4 linked regions of the Neodiprion lecontei genome follow. Each later gene encodes a partner of the first gene's protein in a complex. Links are inferred from orthologs where the notes say so. Each region holds a gene or a part of one and is shown in the gene's direction. Other genes may lie near its edges.

Region 1 (5,025 bases):
ACAATTGCGTAACAAATGACAGCTACATTTAATGTTCAACCAACTATGTAGCATAAATGGGTGAATACTCTTTGTTATTTGTTGTGAAAAAATGATACGTACATGACTACGGACATTGAAATTGTCAGACCAAAAGAGTGTAGTGTGAAAAAGTGCAAAGCTCATGATTAGCTGTTGACTAGAGCCTGATTCGGCGGTGACTCCAGTGCAGCGAGGATCAGCTGATAGGTAAGCTGCACGTGCAGTTTTTGACTCAATGCCATGCTCGTTACCGAAGTGGTTTAACGCTGGCACAGTAATGGTCCATTTCTTTTTTCTCTACTGAATGACATGATGGCATTAAAGAAACGATAATGTCATTTGCCAGAATTTTACCATTTCTATTGAAACATAGATGAAATGATAGACTTATGTAACCGTCAACACTTTTCATTCGATTATGCTGTCTATTGAAAATACTGGGGATGTTAAATGTTCTGGCAATTTACTCGTTAACTTCAATTTGTGAATTAGAACAGGTCTGGTACTTGTTGCAATGTAGGATTGCCCCGACCTTTCCCCGCGCCAATACCAACAATAAGTTGGGGCTAAAGCCCTCAAATCAGTGATTAAGGAGAAATAATTATATTGGCAATGGTAATGACTAAAGCAATTGAATGACGGGAAACAGTTTGAAACCCCTAAGTTTCACGTTTCTGTAAAATAGCTGCCATTACACGAATGAGGACCATATACTGTTGACTCTGCAATTTCATGAAGTATTGAGACACTCTGCAGTGTTCTGGAAGATATTGCTCTCAAGAGAACTCAGAAAAGAATACATAAAGTGCATGATACTTACCTATCTTTCTTTCTCACGTAGACTAGAGGCATGTAAGGACCGCTAACCTTTATAGGATCAGGGTATGGCAGCGTTGTACAAAAATTTGACTTAACTTACGTTCCTGAGCTGTCTGTCGATATTTTATACACATTTGGATAGCAAAAATAGAAAACCATACTTGAACGTACAAGATCATATAAATTTTCAGTAAAATGCTGACGCTTAAATAGCGTCTCCTATATATCTTATCGAAGTCTATATGAAATTTTCAGCACTGTTATAATTCCATCGAAATGATTCTGTAAGCGGAGAAATTGTGCATTATGTGTGAACTTTTTGGGTGTTCATAGCTGAATACATTATACAAATTTTTTTTACTGTTGTGGCTATATCATAATTTATGTTGATATAGTTATAAATTCATCAATCGATGGTCATATAGTGTACATACATTTACTCCAAGATATATACAGCTCTCAGATAACTAGCCAGTTAATTACTTGGCAATCCAACATACCGTTTGTGTATTTCATTTTTCGTTTATGGATTGGTTTTTTTATTAGCAATTGTCGTGAATTTTTAAATGATCGAAGACCTTTTTATTTTGAATTTAATAAACATTTAACATGTATTACCAAAATTTTATCGCACTTTTTGCGCGTGGACTTGATGCTTGATTGTTCTTAGTTGAAGACGAGCGTTACAGTTTTGCGCCTCGTATACGTTCTCAAACCCACGCACTCCGCGACCAATTGTCCCGATTTGCGTTCCGAAATCTGCGGTATGCGTGCGCAACTTTCCCGCCAACTTAACGCGTGCGCGTGGCTCTCGAAGCATCAGACCTTGCATCAGACTTCGCATGGCGTCATGAAACCGCTGCGAGTTTGTTGATCTTCGGAGTTACTTTGAGGATCGTATTGTTTATCAAAGTTGGAATAAGTGAGTGCCTAGTCATCAAGAGACGAAAAATATTCGAACATCAAGAATTCGTGTAATATGAATCGCTTGGACGATCTCCCAGGCCTAACTAAGGGAAGGAAAACATCTTACATCGGGATGAACGGTAGGTAGATTGAAAAATATGTAAATAAAAATGACAGACGATACGATTTTGACGTTTATTGAAGATAAAAATATCCCGCGACAAGTGATCGTATTAGCAAGGTATTCATCGGTTCGTGATTAAGCGTAAATTCTCACATAGCTATAGATCAAAAAAATTATTACGAATAACATAAACATAGTACCTTTATCGTCTAACCTCATTCGAGTGTTTTTATTTATCTCAGGTGGGCCAGAAACCGATGACCAACAGCGACTTCGCTTTCAGGTTGAGTTGGAATTTGTCCAATGTCTCGCTAATCCAAACTATCTAAATTGTAAGTTTTTAACTTCGTATCTCCATTGTACTTTTCAGCTGTTGACCTTAGGTCATTGACATTACTCCCCAGTTGTAAATATGTATGTTGATGATGGAAAAATTAATGATATACTAAGAATGTGTTAGAAGGAGTTATCGTTAGGTAAATATTTTATTTTAGATCCTCGTTTTATGTTAAACTTGAAGTCATCGTCGATTCAACGGAACTCCTAGTTACATAAATTCAATCGATACTGACGTCATTCTGGAAATACTTTGAATTATTAAATCAATATTCGTTTCATGTTCTTCAACTATTTGCATCAATACGCACCACATATTTCCAAAATTCAAAGTTCATCTTCCTCGTAACTCAAATTGATCCAAGTCGCAAAAGATTCACAATTTAGAACACAGCCAGATCCTTTAGTAAAGGAAAGTTGCCTAACGTGGGCAGGGTTCTTTATTTAGAATGACTTGTTACCTGGGCAATTAAGTAGGTCATGCTATTGTTGATTAGTGCAACTACGCGACACTCAGTGCTGAATATCAGTGCTATGTCAATGATTGTTAGTAAGCAGAACTTCAATGATAATTTAACGTTTTGTCCTGAAATATCTGTCCCACTTTTGATTAGTGTATACCTGTAATTCATATAATGGGCGGGGTTTGTTTTTCATCATCAAAAGTCCGCACTTAAACACCATCGTTCGTTTTGAAAATCATTTATTAATTTTGACAGAAGATACAAATTGTACTGGTAAAATAGAAATCGCCTAGATATTACCAGTCAGATGTTAATTTCGAAAATAAAATGGTTGGGTAGTGGAAAAGTCTCGTTACACCGAAATGTAAGCGAATTTTTTGATCTGAGGAAACGTGTATCGCAAGTGTAGGATATAATAACTACGTAAAACATTCTATGGCAATTTGACGATTTAATTTAAAATTTATCAATTCTTTTTATAAGCGCATTATACAGAAGAAGAGAGTTGTTTGTGAATTTTCCCAGAAGTTTTAGCAAGTTGAAGAGGTGAAATCGATCTGTAATTTCTTGTGATAGAGAAATGAGAACAAGACTATCTACTGAAGTTCTGCCTAGTACTGGCCGACTCTTCAATGGAACTGCTATACCAGTGCCGAAGTTCTCACCTTTCTTCAGGATCCCATATTCAATTGGGCAACTTCCTACACATCATAAAATTGCTATAGAACGTTTTATTTATTTGTAGTAGTTATTTATCACAGGTCTGCTCCTATCATTCCATCTTCAAAAATGGGTAGCGTAGCTTTTCACTGGATTCTGTCTGTCAGCGCTGTATCATAATTCACGTTATGAATTATTTAGTTCTGAAATTCAATCTCTCTGCAAGATTCAATTAATCTGGCACAAAGATTCCAAGTGATTGAGGAGGAAAATCATCTGATAAACTGAAACAATCAAATTATTTTATTCATATCCGTCGGTTGTATAGTTTTCTGAAATTGATGTGGTGTTTTTTTGTAACACCAAAATTTCTACTCCTATTAGAATACTCTTCTCTAGTATTTAAGAAACTAGATTCAAAACGAACAATTCGTGAAAGATGCAGTTTTTGAGAAATTAGCCTTATCACAGAAAATATCTGGAAACTAGAGACTGAGTAGCTGTTGGAATGTGTTGGATGCGAAATTGGACAGTAACGGAACACTGAAAAATATTCATAAAGGATTAGCGGAGACAACAGACTTGAAGACATCTACTTTCAAGATGTATAAACCCTTCGCTGTATACTTTGATTATAATTCATTACTGTTTTGGCACAGTTCTGGGCCAGCGAGGATATTTCAAAGATTCCACCTTCATCAATTACCTGAAGTATCTACTTTACTGGAAGGAGCCAGAATATGCTAAATACTTGAAGTACCCGATGTGCCTCTATTTTCTGGACTTACTGCAGTATGAGCATTTCCGACGTGAAGTCGTAAACGCTCAGTGCACAAAATTCATCGATGATCAGCAAATATTGCTATGGCAGCATTACACCAGACGCAGAACAAGGTTACTGCAAACAGCAGCAGAGCAAACACAGCCCAATAATGCGCAAAACAACGGTATGGTGCAGCCAAAAGTACCGTAGAGACTGTAAAAAAACTTGTTAATAATCTTAGGTGTTAAAACACATTGTTAATAATATTTAACAACTTCAACTGTACATTTTGTTCCTTTCTTTTCATCCGTATTATTCGTAATGTAATGAATACTTGTTTAAATTTAAATAAAGACTTCTTTTATACTTGTCTCGAGGATTATATCTTCATTCATAATCAGAATTCTACCAATGAACTAGCTAATCAGGCTAGCTTTTGATCAACAGAGAATTTAAGTACTTCCATTGCTCAAGGCTTACATTAAAGAATGCTTAGAAAAAAAAGGTTGCCACACAAATATCAAATTTTATGAGGCTCTTTAGTTCGTCATTTCATAAAACCTTGAATGATTGGCGGTAGCTGAATAGTTTTCCTATGCATTTGTTAAAAAGTGTAATTTCACAAATTTTTCACATCCTTCTAGCTTGACACACGTCCGCTTTATTTCGAACAGTTTTTCAGATGTATATATACACAACAACGTTTTTTCAAAACATGAAACCCTGCTGAATTGTGGAACAGAGTAATAAATTTTGCAAAGTACTTTTGGATTATAAAAAGTACATTTACGCTGAAAATTGTCCACACAAATACTCCACTTCTGCATTAATCTTACACGGTGTAAATATGATGCACTTCGAAAAAAGATACCTATACTACTCGATTACGTGACGATAATTTACCTACAATTATTAAATAGCGCTAAATACTT
Region 2 (3,607 bases), on another chromosome or scaffold:
ATTTGTAAAATAAATTCTTAAAATCACAGCACCATCCTTTTCACATTATACCTATTTTATTATGAACTCCGAACAGATGATCATCTGCTACATCTGTAGAATACTCATACCTGTAACAATGGATCTATTATAAAAGCGAACTTTGTAATATTCACCATGGAAATGGTAAATTGGCAAAAAAAGATCTGGAATTGATACTGAACTTATAGCATGCATCTTCCTGCAACATAACGAGGTATAATAGTAAAAGACGCACAATTTTAATTAGTCGGAATAAAATTTATTGAGACCACATTTACAGAAGTGTTTGGCTCAGATTAGGCACTGGCCAGGCTTTCTCTGAACTTCTTCCACGCGTCTAGGGGTCCGTGCTCTGGAAGATATTTGACATTGCAACCATCTTGGGCAAGACGACCAGCTACCTTCAGATCTTCGTATTCGGCACGTTCGTACTTGGTAAATCCCCACTTCTTAGAAACGTAGATCTTTTGACGACCAGGGAACTTGAACTTGGCACGCCGTAGAGCCTCGATAACTACCGCCTTGTGACGGTCCGATGAGCGCACACTCATGATCGGCTGCCCGATTCGGACACGAGCAACAGTACCTTGAGGCTTACCAAAGGCTCCTCTCATCCCAGTTTGGAGCCTAGATAGTTGAACAAATTTGTAGCATTAATTTTCCATCTAAGTAGATAATATTCCGTTGTTGGATAAATGAGTTACTATTGTTCACGTAATTTACCTATCAGCTCCAGCGCATGACAACATTTTGTTGATGCGAATGACGTGGAAAGGGTGGAGTCGCATCCTAATGTGGAACTGATCTTTGCCAGCATTTTTGACCATGTATTTGTTGCAGCAAATACGACCTGCTTCTAGAGCTTCTGAGCTAAGCTGTTCATATTCGTCAGAAACCAAATGAACGCAGAGTGGAAAGTCTTCGACACATGCCTTCTTCTTTCCCAAGTCAAAGATACGAATCTTTGGGTCAGGGACACCCCGACAGAAACGAGACTTAGGATATGGTTTGTTCTTGCAGTAGCGATAACTGTAATTAAACAAAAATTCTCATCAGTATTTGATTTATAACATATTTACACAGCACTTAGATTCCCAAACCTTTATCTCAAAGCGTATTGCAACAATGACATCTGATTGTATAAATTATAAATTAAATGATACATATTGCGAAACAGGTTAGACACCAGTGTTAACGAGGTTACGTTACCATCATGTCGAACTTTCAGTTCCACAAAATTCTCTACAGTTGACTAATGGTCTGGAACTGCAATTCTAATTAGCAAAATTTTCGCGACAATTACAGAGAACTTCAAAATAAGTGAGTAAATGAAGCGGCAGTAATGGGTTAAATACAGAACAGTGCACTTCGAAGCTTGGCATACACCTGCGTTGACACAAAAAAGGGAATTTTGTTAGAGCCTCGGATTAATTCGTAGCTCGAGTCAATTAAAGCAATCGTTGGTCAGGAATAAAGGTACCACAATTATTTCTCTTTTCGATTATTTCTTTTTTTCCTAAATTAGAAAATGCGAGTCATGACGACTTACCACCTCGCTGGCCGGCGTCCCATTTTGGACTGAAAATATAAACACCACAATTATTTATCGAAAAAACTATCACTCTTAACAATTGGTAAATTAACCTAATTTCGTTCAGTAAGACTAATTAATTGCCGTTGTGTAGGATTCCTCGGATTATCAGAGATATAAAACAGCATTCGCGATACATACCTACTACCCTTGATAGCCCAAATGAAAGTGACGGAAATCAATTTTCTGGTCAAATGTCCAGGAGCTACTTCCGGCATTCGCGGTGCAACACCATAGACTATACTAACGATTACGTCCATTCTATGTCTAACTTTACAAGCTAGATGTTAAGCTCCTTGCCATCGCTCCATCTACAAAACTTGATTTTTCCGGCTTCTGTTTCTGACAGTACCGTAAAATTTTGTCAAACCTTCGTGGTGTGCTAAATGCTTTGAACGACCAGTTCGCGTGATAAAGAACGTGTGTAGATAAATTCATTTAAACTGTCTACGAAAGAAGAAAAAATTAGTGTCGAAAAAGCAGAAGATGCCGAAAAAAATTGCGGTGAAAATATGATGGAAGTTGTTGAGATAGCAGAGGAAGCGCCTGCTCGAAGTCAGTTCACAGTCGACGATCTAGACATAGAAATTCTACCGCTTGTTTACGAAATAATCCGAAGGTATGTGGGTTTAATTTATTTTCTTGTTAACACTAGCAATACCCTTTGAAATTGACATGCCAAAAATAGTACTCCATTTTTTCAAGTTATTATAGATAGAAAGTTGCGAAAGCACTCCCCATTGTCTGCCACGTTTGTCAAATTATTTATAGCTCATATGATTGCGTATCAAAATTATTAACACAAGGTACATGATTGCTCAATTTCTCAAATTGATATTCTAATTTTATTCACTTGCTCTGCGAACATTAGATCGTGACGTTGGAGTTTTACAGGATTACGTATGAACAAGAATTTACCTTATTAAATGTACAGCTAATTTGTCTCATCAAACTAGTTATGTAATGCAACAAAATTTTGATTTGTTCCACATAGCGTGGAAAAAGATCCTCATGACAACACCCAAAAAGCTAAGGACTCTCAGGATACGAGTCACAAAATACTAGATTTACAAAAAAAATTGGACTCTGCACGATCACAGGTGTGTATACTCGACGATAATCATGCTTAGCATGACTAAATATTCGTTCTCTGTAATTTAATAAACTGAAACCCATTGCTTTTAGATAAAAAAATTGCCTGGGATAGAATATAGCAAAGAGGAGCAATTACAGAAGCTAGAAACACTTCGCAGGCAGCTCAAGTTGAAGCGAGAACTACTACTCAAGTATCGTAATATGTGTACATTCGACGTACCCAAAGTATAAATAATTAGACTTTCATACTATAATTCATTATGGTTCTGCGTTTTCTTATGCGATACTTGGCCAACAACGAACAGCTCATCAACAAATTAGCAGATTCAAAACCTATAAGACGAGCTGCTCAGCTGGTTGTTTATTTTATGCAACGTTCTTCCCAGCACGGTATACCATCCAGTCCACAGGAGCTTGGCAAGCAATGGGCAAGTTTATTATCGCGTTTCTCATCTAATCTCAAAGAAGGAATTGCAGACGCTAAGAAGGATCAGGAAAAGAAACAATCTAAATAACATATATTCTAACGTAACCAAATTACTCTCCTGCGATTAGTTATCCATCTCAAAGACTTCGATGAATCAGTTTTTTTTTTTTCTGAATTGTGAATTAGATTTAATAGCTTAATATTTCCCATTGGTTTACCATGGCGTACAAAGGATCAGCCGTTATATTGGTGCCTACAGATTCCAAACAATATTGCGTTAAAGTTGATGGCCATGTTTCGTTTGTCAATCGTTATATGAAAGTTACACCCTACGATATTGGAAGACGGATTATAGCTTCCCTCGGACCTCCTTGTAACAAGAAATTTAGAATTGAAAATATAGATCTAGTAGGACCCCTCCTAGCAGTCTTAATTTTAATTGCAATTCTAAATTACGGATATAGGATTAAAGA
Region 3 (4,645 bases), on another chromosome or scaffold:
GTCACTCGGTTGCCGCTCTGTCAGCCTCGCCACACTCACTGATATGCTCGGATTGTTAAGGCCAACTTCGCACACTCGACCCATCCACGCCTAGGCCTTGCAAATCACTGACAGCTAGTTCGACTCAACAAATCTCACAATTCTATGTATACATGATTGGGATTCCGAGATGAGCTCGGAAGATTGTTCACCTCGTGGCCCCTTGGCACGGTTCGTATCGTTCGATTTTGGTCACCGCGCTCCGCGCGGACCAGCGTCTAACTGTTTTGGTTCACCTACCCCGCGCCAGGTGGTGACACCTCTCTGAGCTTGCGCGGGGATTCCCGGGGTGAGTTTTGTAATCTGTCAAGGTCCAAGGTCCGTAGATAGACGAGCGGACAAGGAACGGTCTTTGCCTGGTCACCATTTGTATTCCAATTTGTCTATAGTGTGTAGGTTTTATACTGCAGTTTGACAACGCAGTCGTTGTTTCTGTTCCTACGGAAAATTCGTCATGCAAAGAACTTAATTCCCTTGTCCGCCCGTCTATTTGCGGACCTTGTCACTGCTCGCTCTGCAGCCGCGAAGCGTTTCACGAATTTCGCGGTTTGGACATGTTCTCTGTGACATTTGCTTGGAGCATATACACTGCTCTAAGATTACTCGAGTGCTCGGAGAAATAACAAAATTTAGATTCGCAATTGAAGCAAAACCGCGTGTCGAAATACCCTGTACCTTCTAATATCCAACGATATTACATTATTTTGACTGGACCGACTGGACGAACAGGGTACAGAAAATCGGGGATTCAATCGATTATTATTTATTTCGTATTTTATTCCATTTCAAACCATAAAGAACGTTGACTTTACATCTTCGGTCAACGCGGTGAATGAAAATTAAACCGGCAATATTTATCGGCACAATTACCTTCGCTGTATAAGCCTACCGAATTACAGATAGCAACGTACAGCTTGTGAATTTAGGCACGCATTAAATTGCATAGATATGTATACAAAATAAAATATCTGCGGTCAATTCATACTATTTAAGGGTACGGGCAGCAATGCAAATGGTCGGTGGTCGAACTGCCGTGATTTTTGTGAGAGGATGAGGTGAAGCTGAATTTTCAATAAGACAAGGTACGTTAAAATACCGGTCGGTAACCGACTTGCATAAACTGTCCAGACACCTCGAAAATTAGATTGAAAAAACTGCAAATGTAGGCTTCTTCAGGCTCTTTCTGACCTTGCTTTCCAAAAACCGCAGAACGACTATAGCTATGATTTCATGACTGAAAAATGGCAGGCATTGGCTATAGACTTCAGCGTGCCGCTAAGGAAAACTACGCAGTATTCTGCTGTAACGCCACGATCCTACATTGAGATCCCATAAGACGAGTCGGTAAGTGCAAGGTAGTGGAATTTCCCTCAAACCCGTCTGAATCCGGCAATCCATTTCGAAAAATAACACAAGAACCCAAAGCAGTCCTCATATCAACTCATATGAACTGTATTTTCAGTCAACGTCAAGGGAAACTAAAACGGAAACTGTACGTAGCGACATCTAGCCGATGGATTGCATAGCTGCGTTGAAGCATCAGAGGAATATCCATCTAAGCCGTCGAGTTTCGAACTGGCGGAGCTTCATTGTCACTGTCAGGAATAGTCTAGATTGTAAACACAGAGTTGCCTACTCATCTCTGGTAAACAAGTGTCTCGTTTCTATCAGTGTGTGACTTGAGTGCTTTTTTTTAGTTTGATTATTTATTGACAGAAAAGAAACAATGGGTGTGACAGTGTGAGTATCACGTAAATAGCCTCACAAACAGGTTTGCCGTCACACTTGTCACGGCATGCTTCGCATCAAATAATCCTCAACCTCGCGTTTGTTGAACGTTTTTAGGTTATGCGGCTTTTACGATTACCGGCTATTGCCGTTGAAATGTACCACACCTTGATATTCTGCTACTTCAATCTGTCGCGCAATCGTATTGCGGTTATATTTATCGTCTTAATCTCAAAATCGAGGTCCTAGCAGAGCTTCTAACTTCGAATTATTCTTTGTTCAAGATTGATTGAGCAATGTTTCTAACTTCGTGAAACCTAATATTTCAGGCTACAGCAATTTCCCATGTCGGAGAACCGGACCGGCCCCCAGACGATCGAATTCCTCACAAAGCGAGTCGTCGCCCTCGGAGCTGTTCAGACAGGGCAGTTTCTGGTCGATTGCGAAACTTACCAATCGGTGCCTCAGTTAGGTGAGTGGCTGTTCGATTTTGTTTTAAATTTTCCTGAAGTTCAGTGACTCGTTGGAAAACATACATGAGCAACACATTGATATTGTTGATGGAGAAAACTTGAAAAGGATTGTTAAAAAAGAAGGGGATCCTTTTCCGTTAGAATTCAGTGTAGTTCGTGTGATTTCGTAGAGATGGCGCCACTACGAGCTCTTGCTGATGAATTTTCAGCTGTGGGAAACGTGGGGATTTCTTCAAATCTATTGATCCGAATTTGCCAGGGAATTTAAATTGCTGGTTGTGTTCTATTGAACCTGCAATTGAGATAGGTTTACCGTACTAAGTAGAGGCTGACGTTCGCTTTTAGTTCATCTTCTTTATTCTATTTAAATAACTTTCTGCTATTTGGCTGCAACATAGTATACACATCTCTATACAAACATACAATTTCTTTCGCATTAGTTTGACACTCTAGATTAGGCATATGTATATGCGCTTTCATCACTTTCTACAGAGGTACAGACATAAAATGGGCAATTATTCTTCCTCTTAACCTGCATCTGTCAAAGTTTAATTAAGTACTGCGATATATTGAGCTTTTTAGCTTGGAGCAACAAACTGATATTTATTTCGGCAGGACTATTCATTTTTTAATTATTCAATTTGTGCTACGCATTATCCATCATCTTCACGTCGATCTACCGTACATAGAATTTATATGATCTACGTTACATGCCTGACAAGTAAATGGCAACCTTTACTTGACTTCCGTAGTGTAGTTTTTGATATTTTACAACAGTCAGGTACCATGAAATCTTCCCGGCAGCATTACACTGGGAATTTTTCTAGTGTCAGCGTAAATCCGTTCGGTTGTTTTCGATTGAATTTCGCGACACGTGATACATACAAGATACGATACAGTATTCAGACAAATACTTCCTTCTATTAATTACTGGTACATCTAACGAGCAAATTTCTTCTCTTTTCCCTTTCTCTTTCGCATCACGCGCACAACTTATTCAATTTCTTAAGCTTAACAACAGTTGGTTTTATTATTGTCTAGTTAGCGAATAGGCGTATATTATTAGAAACATGGCTACATCCTAGGCGTTTTTACAAAAATATTAAATCTAGCAAGCGAAGCTAGAGAAGTATTTTATTTATCTGATTTTTCTTAAGTCGTTGCACATTTTTGAAAATACATTTTGATATTTCTTTTTTGATAGATAGAATTTATGATTTTAATAATGTTTTATTCATTTTTTTACTCACATGGCCAGCATTGATCATATATATATGTGTGTGTGTGTGTGTGTGTGTGTGTGTACGTATAATACGATATATTTTTGAATATATAGTTTTTATTGTCGCGTAATATTTTATATTTAATTGTATATACGTTATCTCAATATAGAAGGATTGTTAGAAATTCGTAAAATACTACAAGCATCTCTGACGTATAATATTCATGTTTTTTTGTTTACGATAAAAAAGTGGCACGCTTCAATCGTTATCTGACGGTTGATTTAGTTAAAGTTTTAAAGTACAATTACACACGCGCTATCGCACAGAATATATAATTTAAATATACCCTTGTATATGATATTTGTACAATTTTCAATATTGTCAACTGGGTATAATAGATGATAATAATAAGAATAATAGATCTTCAATTCACAGAAGTGCATACTGCAGATTTTTTTTTCCCTCCCGTCAACTTATTAGTTATACAACTACGGACATTTTTTTTTCATTCGATTATTATTGGAAATATAACGTCTTGCTGGAACATGTTGGTTCAGTGTTGTTTTTTCAAAGCGTTCTCCAATTTAACAGTATTTTATAAAAATTATACATAGAACCTCGGGAACGGTAAGGTTTTCGAAAAATTATACATTGTTTGATATGAGTGTAAATAACTCAAATTTACGATAGCAATTGTTTGAAGAATTTTAAATTTTGATAATTCACTTCGTACGGTTTCATATTTTTTTTTTATTCCACTTTCTTCGTGAGAATTATTGAGCGAGATTTTAATAGTTTTACAATTATCATTCTTCGAGTATGAACAATATTTTCGTGTTTGAAAGAAAAATTTGTTGAAATTATTTGTATTATTGATTGCAGAGATCTACACCGTATAGATATTGCCCTATCGCTACACATCTTAAGTACATTTTTCTTGCTCTTTTTCTATAGCTTCGTACATACGGATTCGAAAACGCTACTTAATTTTATCAATCAAGTATTCAGATATGGCAGGGATATGATTCACGGATTCAGAAAAAAATATATTATACATACTGCAATAACGAGACGCGATAATTTCACGTATCAGAATCATCGTGGCTCTTGTTGCAGTACCGCTATACGTTATTAATTATACAAGTAATAAGCTAGTTAGCCCGTGATTACTTTTACTATCAA
Region 4 (4,098 bases), on another chromosome or scaffold:
ATGGAAACCTGGTCAAATTCGATCACAGAATGAAGATCAGAAATAATAATATTTTGTTCAACAGCTGAGCAATTGCCATGTAAATACGCGTCGTGTAATGAAATTTCAGGCGTGACCTGTCGACTCGAAATCTATCAAAGAAATGTGTCAACAAGTGATTCGTCTCGCTTACCTCGCTGTCGCTGTCATAGTATATAAGGTATTGCCTGGTGAGGACGAACCATCGCTGCTTGTAGTTGATCGGCGTAAATCGTTTCTTGTTTTGAGAGCGCTTTGTCATAAATCCTGTCTTAACAACACCATCCACGCCTTTAGCCTCCGCCTTCCCATCCTTCCCCGTCATCCCTGAAAAGAAAACCCTGTAAAATGCAAAACATCAAATTAATGAAATGTATTTTTGAGAAAGTGGACGATATTTTGTAATCGTTATATTACTTCTTTTTCTTTCAAGCTTATTCTGGGCGTTATAAAGAAAATTTAAATAGTATTGCGACATTTATCACAGTCCAGCGATAGCTACAGTGTGTTTCAAATATTACTAGACATATCTGTTGATCTGAAAGTAAGAAAAGTTGGAGCTTCTTGTCGAGAAAGGGAGAAACAAAGAGAAAATCCGATTCGCAGAGTACAAGTTTCGGTAGTTCGGTTCACAGCGTAAGAAAGAAGAAGAGAAAATATGAAGACAAAGAAGATAGCGAGAAGTTGAATAGAAGAGAATAGAATGGCGGATGAGAGCTGATTGAAAGAAGAATGTGTGTTTGACGGATGGTGGATTCAACAAATTTGAACAGCTGATGACAGGGAAGTAGGGAAAAGATGAACAGAGACCAACTGTTGGCACGCCATCAGATAAAAGAGAGGAGTAAAACTGATATCGAATATGTGTGTAAATTGTGAACAGGAAACCGTTTCGAGATGGTCGATGCATGGCTCATTTTTCGTTGTTTACAAACACTGCATTCCATCAATTGCTCAGGTACAACAATCGAGGCGATTATTTTACAATGCAGTCGGTTTACGAACGATAATAGGAATAGAGTAAAAGTATAAAAGCGTCGAGAACATCGCGTAGCTAAACCGGGTACGGTACTGATAACGAAACCGAAGCTCAGTTCGAAAATAGGCGATAGGGAAAGGCGCACGGAATTTGCGGTTATAAAATACTGACGTTTTGGGTGCCGAGTTCCTCGGAATCGCCTCGGCCGACGTCGAAATAGCCGGGAAACCGTGTAACAATAAAATAAAGACTATCGGTAGTCAACACAGTACTCTTACCATTCACAGCACCGGTTTGTCACACAGCCAGACGATGCATCGGTCTCGAGAACGTGGCTGCCCGCCGGATTCGGTTAGGGGTATAATGCGAAAAAAAAAATTCACGTGGATGCAAAGGAACACAGAGAGAGGCTTAGCGGCGGGCGGTACGGAGAGGGGGGAGGTAACCTGTCAAACGGTCGCGGGCGAAGCGACGGCTAGGCAAGACGGTCGGAAATTCACGAGATAACAGGAAATGCGCTACGGCGTTAGTCATGAGACACATCGATGTTCAACTGTTTTGTATTGGTCACTTATCCACTTGTCTGAATATTTTACACTTCGACATTCGGGCAGCGCGATTTAATCCCGAGTTGTTTCAACCGCGACACCGAGAGGCAAGCGACGCTTTTCCGACGGTCGAATAACGTCGCTGTGTAGGTAACTGGATGAACTTTGAAAAAGCGTAAACATTTAACATTCCCAGGCATCTTCCATGTTCGGCGCTACGCAGGCATGTAAACAAAACAAAATGGCGAACACTAACCGCCGCGCTGCTTTTGTTTTTTCCTCTGCTGTGACGACTCGCGTTGTTAGACGCTGAAAACACAGTGACTGCCTCGTCGACGAGCCTTCCACTGCTTTACTCGTATTTCATGGCGTGAGTAGATCCACCTCGCCTATCTTCACCCTCCGATTGATGGTGTTAAACCGAGGCTGATATCGTGGTTATAACCTAGCCTAACATGACCCATCTTTTTTTCATCTGACGTTTAAATTCCTCTGACTCGTTTCAGTTCCTTCTCTTTTCTTTTACAGGAATAAAATCTTACGACTACGCCGTTGATATTATTTTATTAAACCATGGCGACTCCGGAAGCGACGCAGGTCAGCTCGCTGCCCATGCCGCCTACTCAGTACATCAACTTGTACACCGATGAGAACGTGCGTAGAGGAAGAGCTCCCCGTCCTCCCCCGGCTAATCATGAGAACTATTCCATGTTCGGGAACATGTTCAACGCCGACGACACCATCATAAGGCCGCTGGAAGCGCAGGGGATCAAGAGGCTTTATCCCCAGCATTTTGACCGGCGTCGTGAGCTCAAGAAACTCAATCACTCTCTTCTGGTCAATTTTTTAGACCTTATAGATCTGCTGGTACAGTGTCCCGACAGTCCGAGGAGAGCGGAGAAGGTGTGTCCTTGATTTTCTTCATACTTGAGACATTTAACACCAGGAGTTATTGACGGTAATAAAGAATCTCATGGTTTTTCCTGACGTATTTTCAGGTCGAGGACTTGAGCCTTTTGTTCATCCATATTCACCACTTGCTTAATGAGTTTAGGCCGCATCAGGCTAGAGAAACTCTTCGTGTTATGATGGAGCTCCAGCGTAGACAGCGGACAGAAACCACTCTGCGATTTCAAAAACATTTAGACAAAGTATGCTATACGTGTCATTGGTTTATCTTTCATCACATTTGGTTTCTTCTAATATCACTGACTAAAATTTCTTTCAATTCTTTCTCTCTAGGTGCAGGAAATATTGCAGCATGCATTGCAGATGCTGCCTGACACCTCGGAGCTAGATTCAAGCCTTGCTGTCAGTACAGATACGATGGAAGTTATGGATACTTTGGGACTAGAGCAACAAGCTACAGATCCGTGTTGTCCAAGGGACCGAATGATGTGCAATATTATCGACGAAATGACCACATCGAATAATCTTTACTGATTCTGGATCAGCAAAAATTCATCCCAACAATAAAATAAAAACTGTTTTATTTATTGAAAACAGCGTCAGAAACACTGTTTAACAGCAATTAAAAAGAGTTTTCAGTACCTCTAATTCTTGAATTTTTAGTTTTCGTCACGTAAAATTACGAAAGTAAAAATAAACATGCTGGCTTGAATTGCATCTTGCTACCTTGGTTGAATGAAATAATTTTTATACTTCAACGCTGTTGAAAAACTGGTTTATAGTGAGCTTAGATATAAGGAACAATTATTAGTGAATTTGTCTAGACGCGTGTGAGTTTCTACAATGATTATTACTGCATATCGTTTTATACATAATATAATTAATATTTTAAATATTATTTATTACTGTGCTGGACAGCGATTAAAATTAAAATACTCTGAATACGGGCGCATGGCTCTGCGATTTACTGTACTTATCATTTGTATATTTGACTGACTTGGAAATAGTCCAGTAATCATTATTAAGAAATGAAGGATTAAAATGGAACTACGTATTCTCCAAAGAAGTGAATAAAAATGAATTTCAGTACGAAGTTGTGAAAAAATATCTCCTAGAAATACTATTATTAGGGATGTCATAACAATAAGATGAATTATTGATCATTAATCAAGGTAGATTTCATCTGAATGATGACATAGATTCACAGCGCTAAACGTAACATGGAAACCTGTAGCTGAGTGTAGAAAAACGGGACAGTTCAAAACAATTTTGAGCCGAACAGCCCCACGTTCTTGAACGGTTTCATAATGCTATGTAATGAATCAGTTGATATAAATTAGTAGATAACGATACTCAAAGAAATACTTGATCGAGACATGGGGACAAAGTATTTCGAAACATTTATTATGTAACGATTTGTAAAAAAAAAGTGTTAAAAACCTTTCTGCATCTCATAAATACCTGGAACTGTTTTTTAAAAGTAAGGAACATTCATGTATAATCATTTCTCGAAATTCCTAACGCGTCACAATTCTTTGAAATATATCTATTGCACGTTTGATTTATCTTATATTTCCAGTACATTTTACGTTAAAAATACACTTCTCCTGGTAATAAACTCCACAACAACTGAGTTCACACTGT

What was found.
Region 2: mediator of RNA polymerase II transcription subunit 31 (region 1) and mediator of RNA polymerase II transcription subunit 9 share a complex: the UniProt entries of both Drosophila melanogaster proteins name them as parts of the mediator complex. The link is inferred for Neodiprion lecontei from reciprocal best matches to the Drosophila melanogaster genes MED31 and MED9.
Region 3: mediator of RNA polymerase II transcription subunit 31 (region 1) and mediator of RNA polymerase II transcription subunit 20 share a complex: the UniProt entries of both Drosophila melanogaster proteins name them as parts of the mediator complex. The link is inferred for Neodiprion lecontei from reciprocal best matches to the Drosophila melanogaster genes MED31 and MED20.
Region 4: mediator of RNA polymerase II transcription subunit 31 (region 1) and mediator of RNA polymerase II transcription subunit 7 share a complex: the UniProt entries of both Drosophila melanogaster proteins name them as parts of the mediator complex. The link is inferred for Neodiprion lecontei from reciprocal best matches to the Drosophila melanogaster genes MED31 and MED7.

What each region holds. Positions count from the first base shown.
Region 1 is NC_060262.1:33,293,895-33,298,919, reverse strand, and holds mediator of RNA polymerase II transcription subunit 31, read left to right. Parts: upstream 1-1,656; 5' UTR 1,657-1,819; coding exon 1,820-1,886; intron 1,887-2,112; coding exon 2,113-2,202; intron 2,203-3,989; coding exon 3,990-4,303; 3' UTR 4,304-4,463; downstream 4,464-5,025. UniProt on the Drosophila melanogaster protein: Component of the Mediator complex, a coactivator involved in the regulated transcription of nearly all RNA polymerase II-dependent genes.
Region 2 is NC_060264.1:6,104,924-6,108,530, reverse strand, and holds mediator of RNA polymerase II transcription subunit 9, read left to right. Parts: upstream 1-1,930; 5' UTR 1,931-2,124; coding exon 2,125-2,231; intron 2,232-2,606; coding exon 2,607-2,712; intron 2,713-2,797; coding exon 2,798-2,938; 3' UTR 2,939-3,085; downstream 3,086-3,607. Other genes in the region: 60S ribosomal protein L10, read right to left, coding at 318-648, 745-1,050, 1,571-1,593; protein YIPF3-like, read left to right, coding at 3,354-3,607. UniProt on the Drosophila melanogaster protein: Component of the Mediator complex, a coactivator involved in the regulated transcription of nearly all RNA polymerase II-dependent genes.
Region 3 is NC_060260.1:35,737,338-35,741,982, reverse strand, and holds the start of mediator of RNA polymerase II transcription subunit 20, read left to right. Parts: upstream 1-1,613; 5' UTR 1,614-1,765; coding exon 1,766-1,779; intron 1,780-2,096; coding exon 2,097-2,239; intron 2,240-4,645. UniProt on the Drosophila melanogaster protein: Component of the Mediator complex, a coactivator involved in the regulated transcription of nearly all RNA polymerase II-dependent genes.
Region 4 is NC_060265.1:6,396,594-6,400,691, reverse strand, and holds mediator of RNA polymerase II transcription subunit 7, read left to right. Parts: upstream 1-1,558; 5' UTR 1,559-1,957; intron 1,958-2,073; 5' UTR 2,074-2,118; coding exon 2,119-2,448; intron 2,449-2,543; coding exon 2,544-2,696; intron 2,697-2,787; coding exon 2,788-2,988; 3' UTR 2,989-3,547; downstream 3,548-4,098. Other genes in the region: tyrosine-protein kinase Btk29A, read right to left, coding at 173-343. UniProt on the Drosophila melanogaster protein: Component of the Mediator complex, a coactivator involved in the regulated transcription of nearly all RNA polymerase II-dependent genes.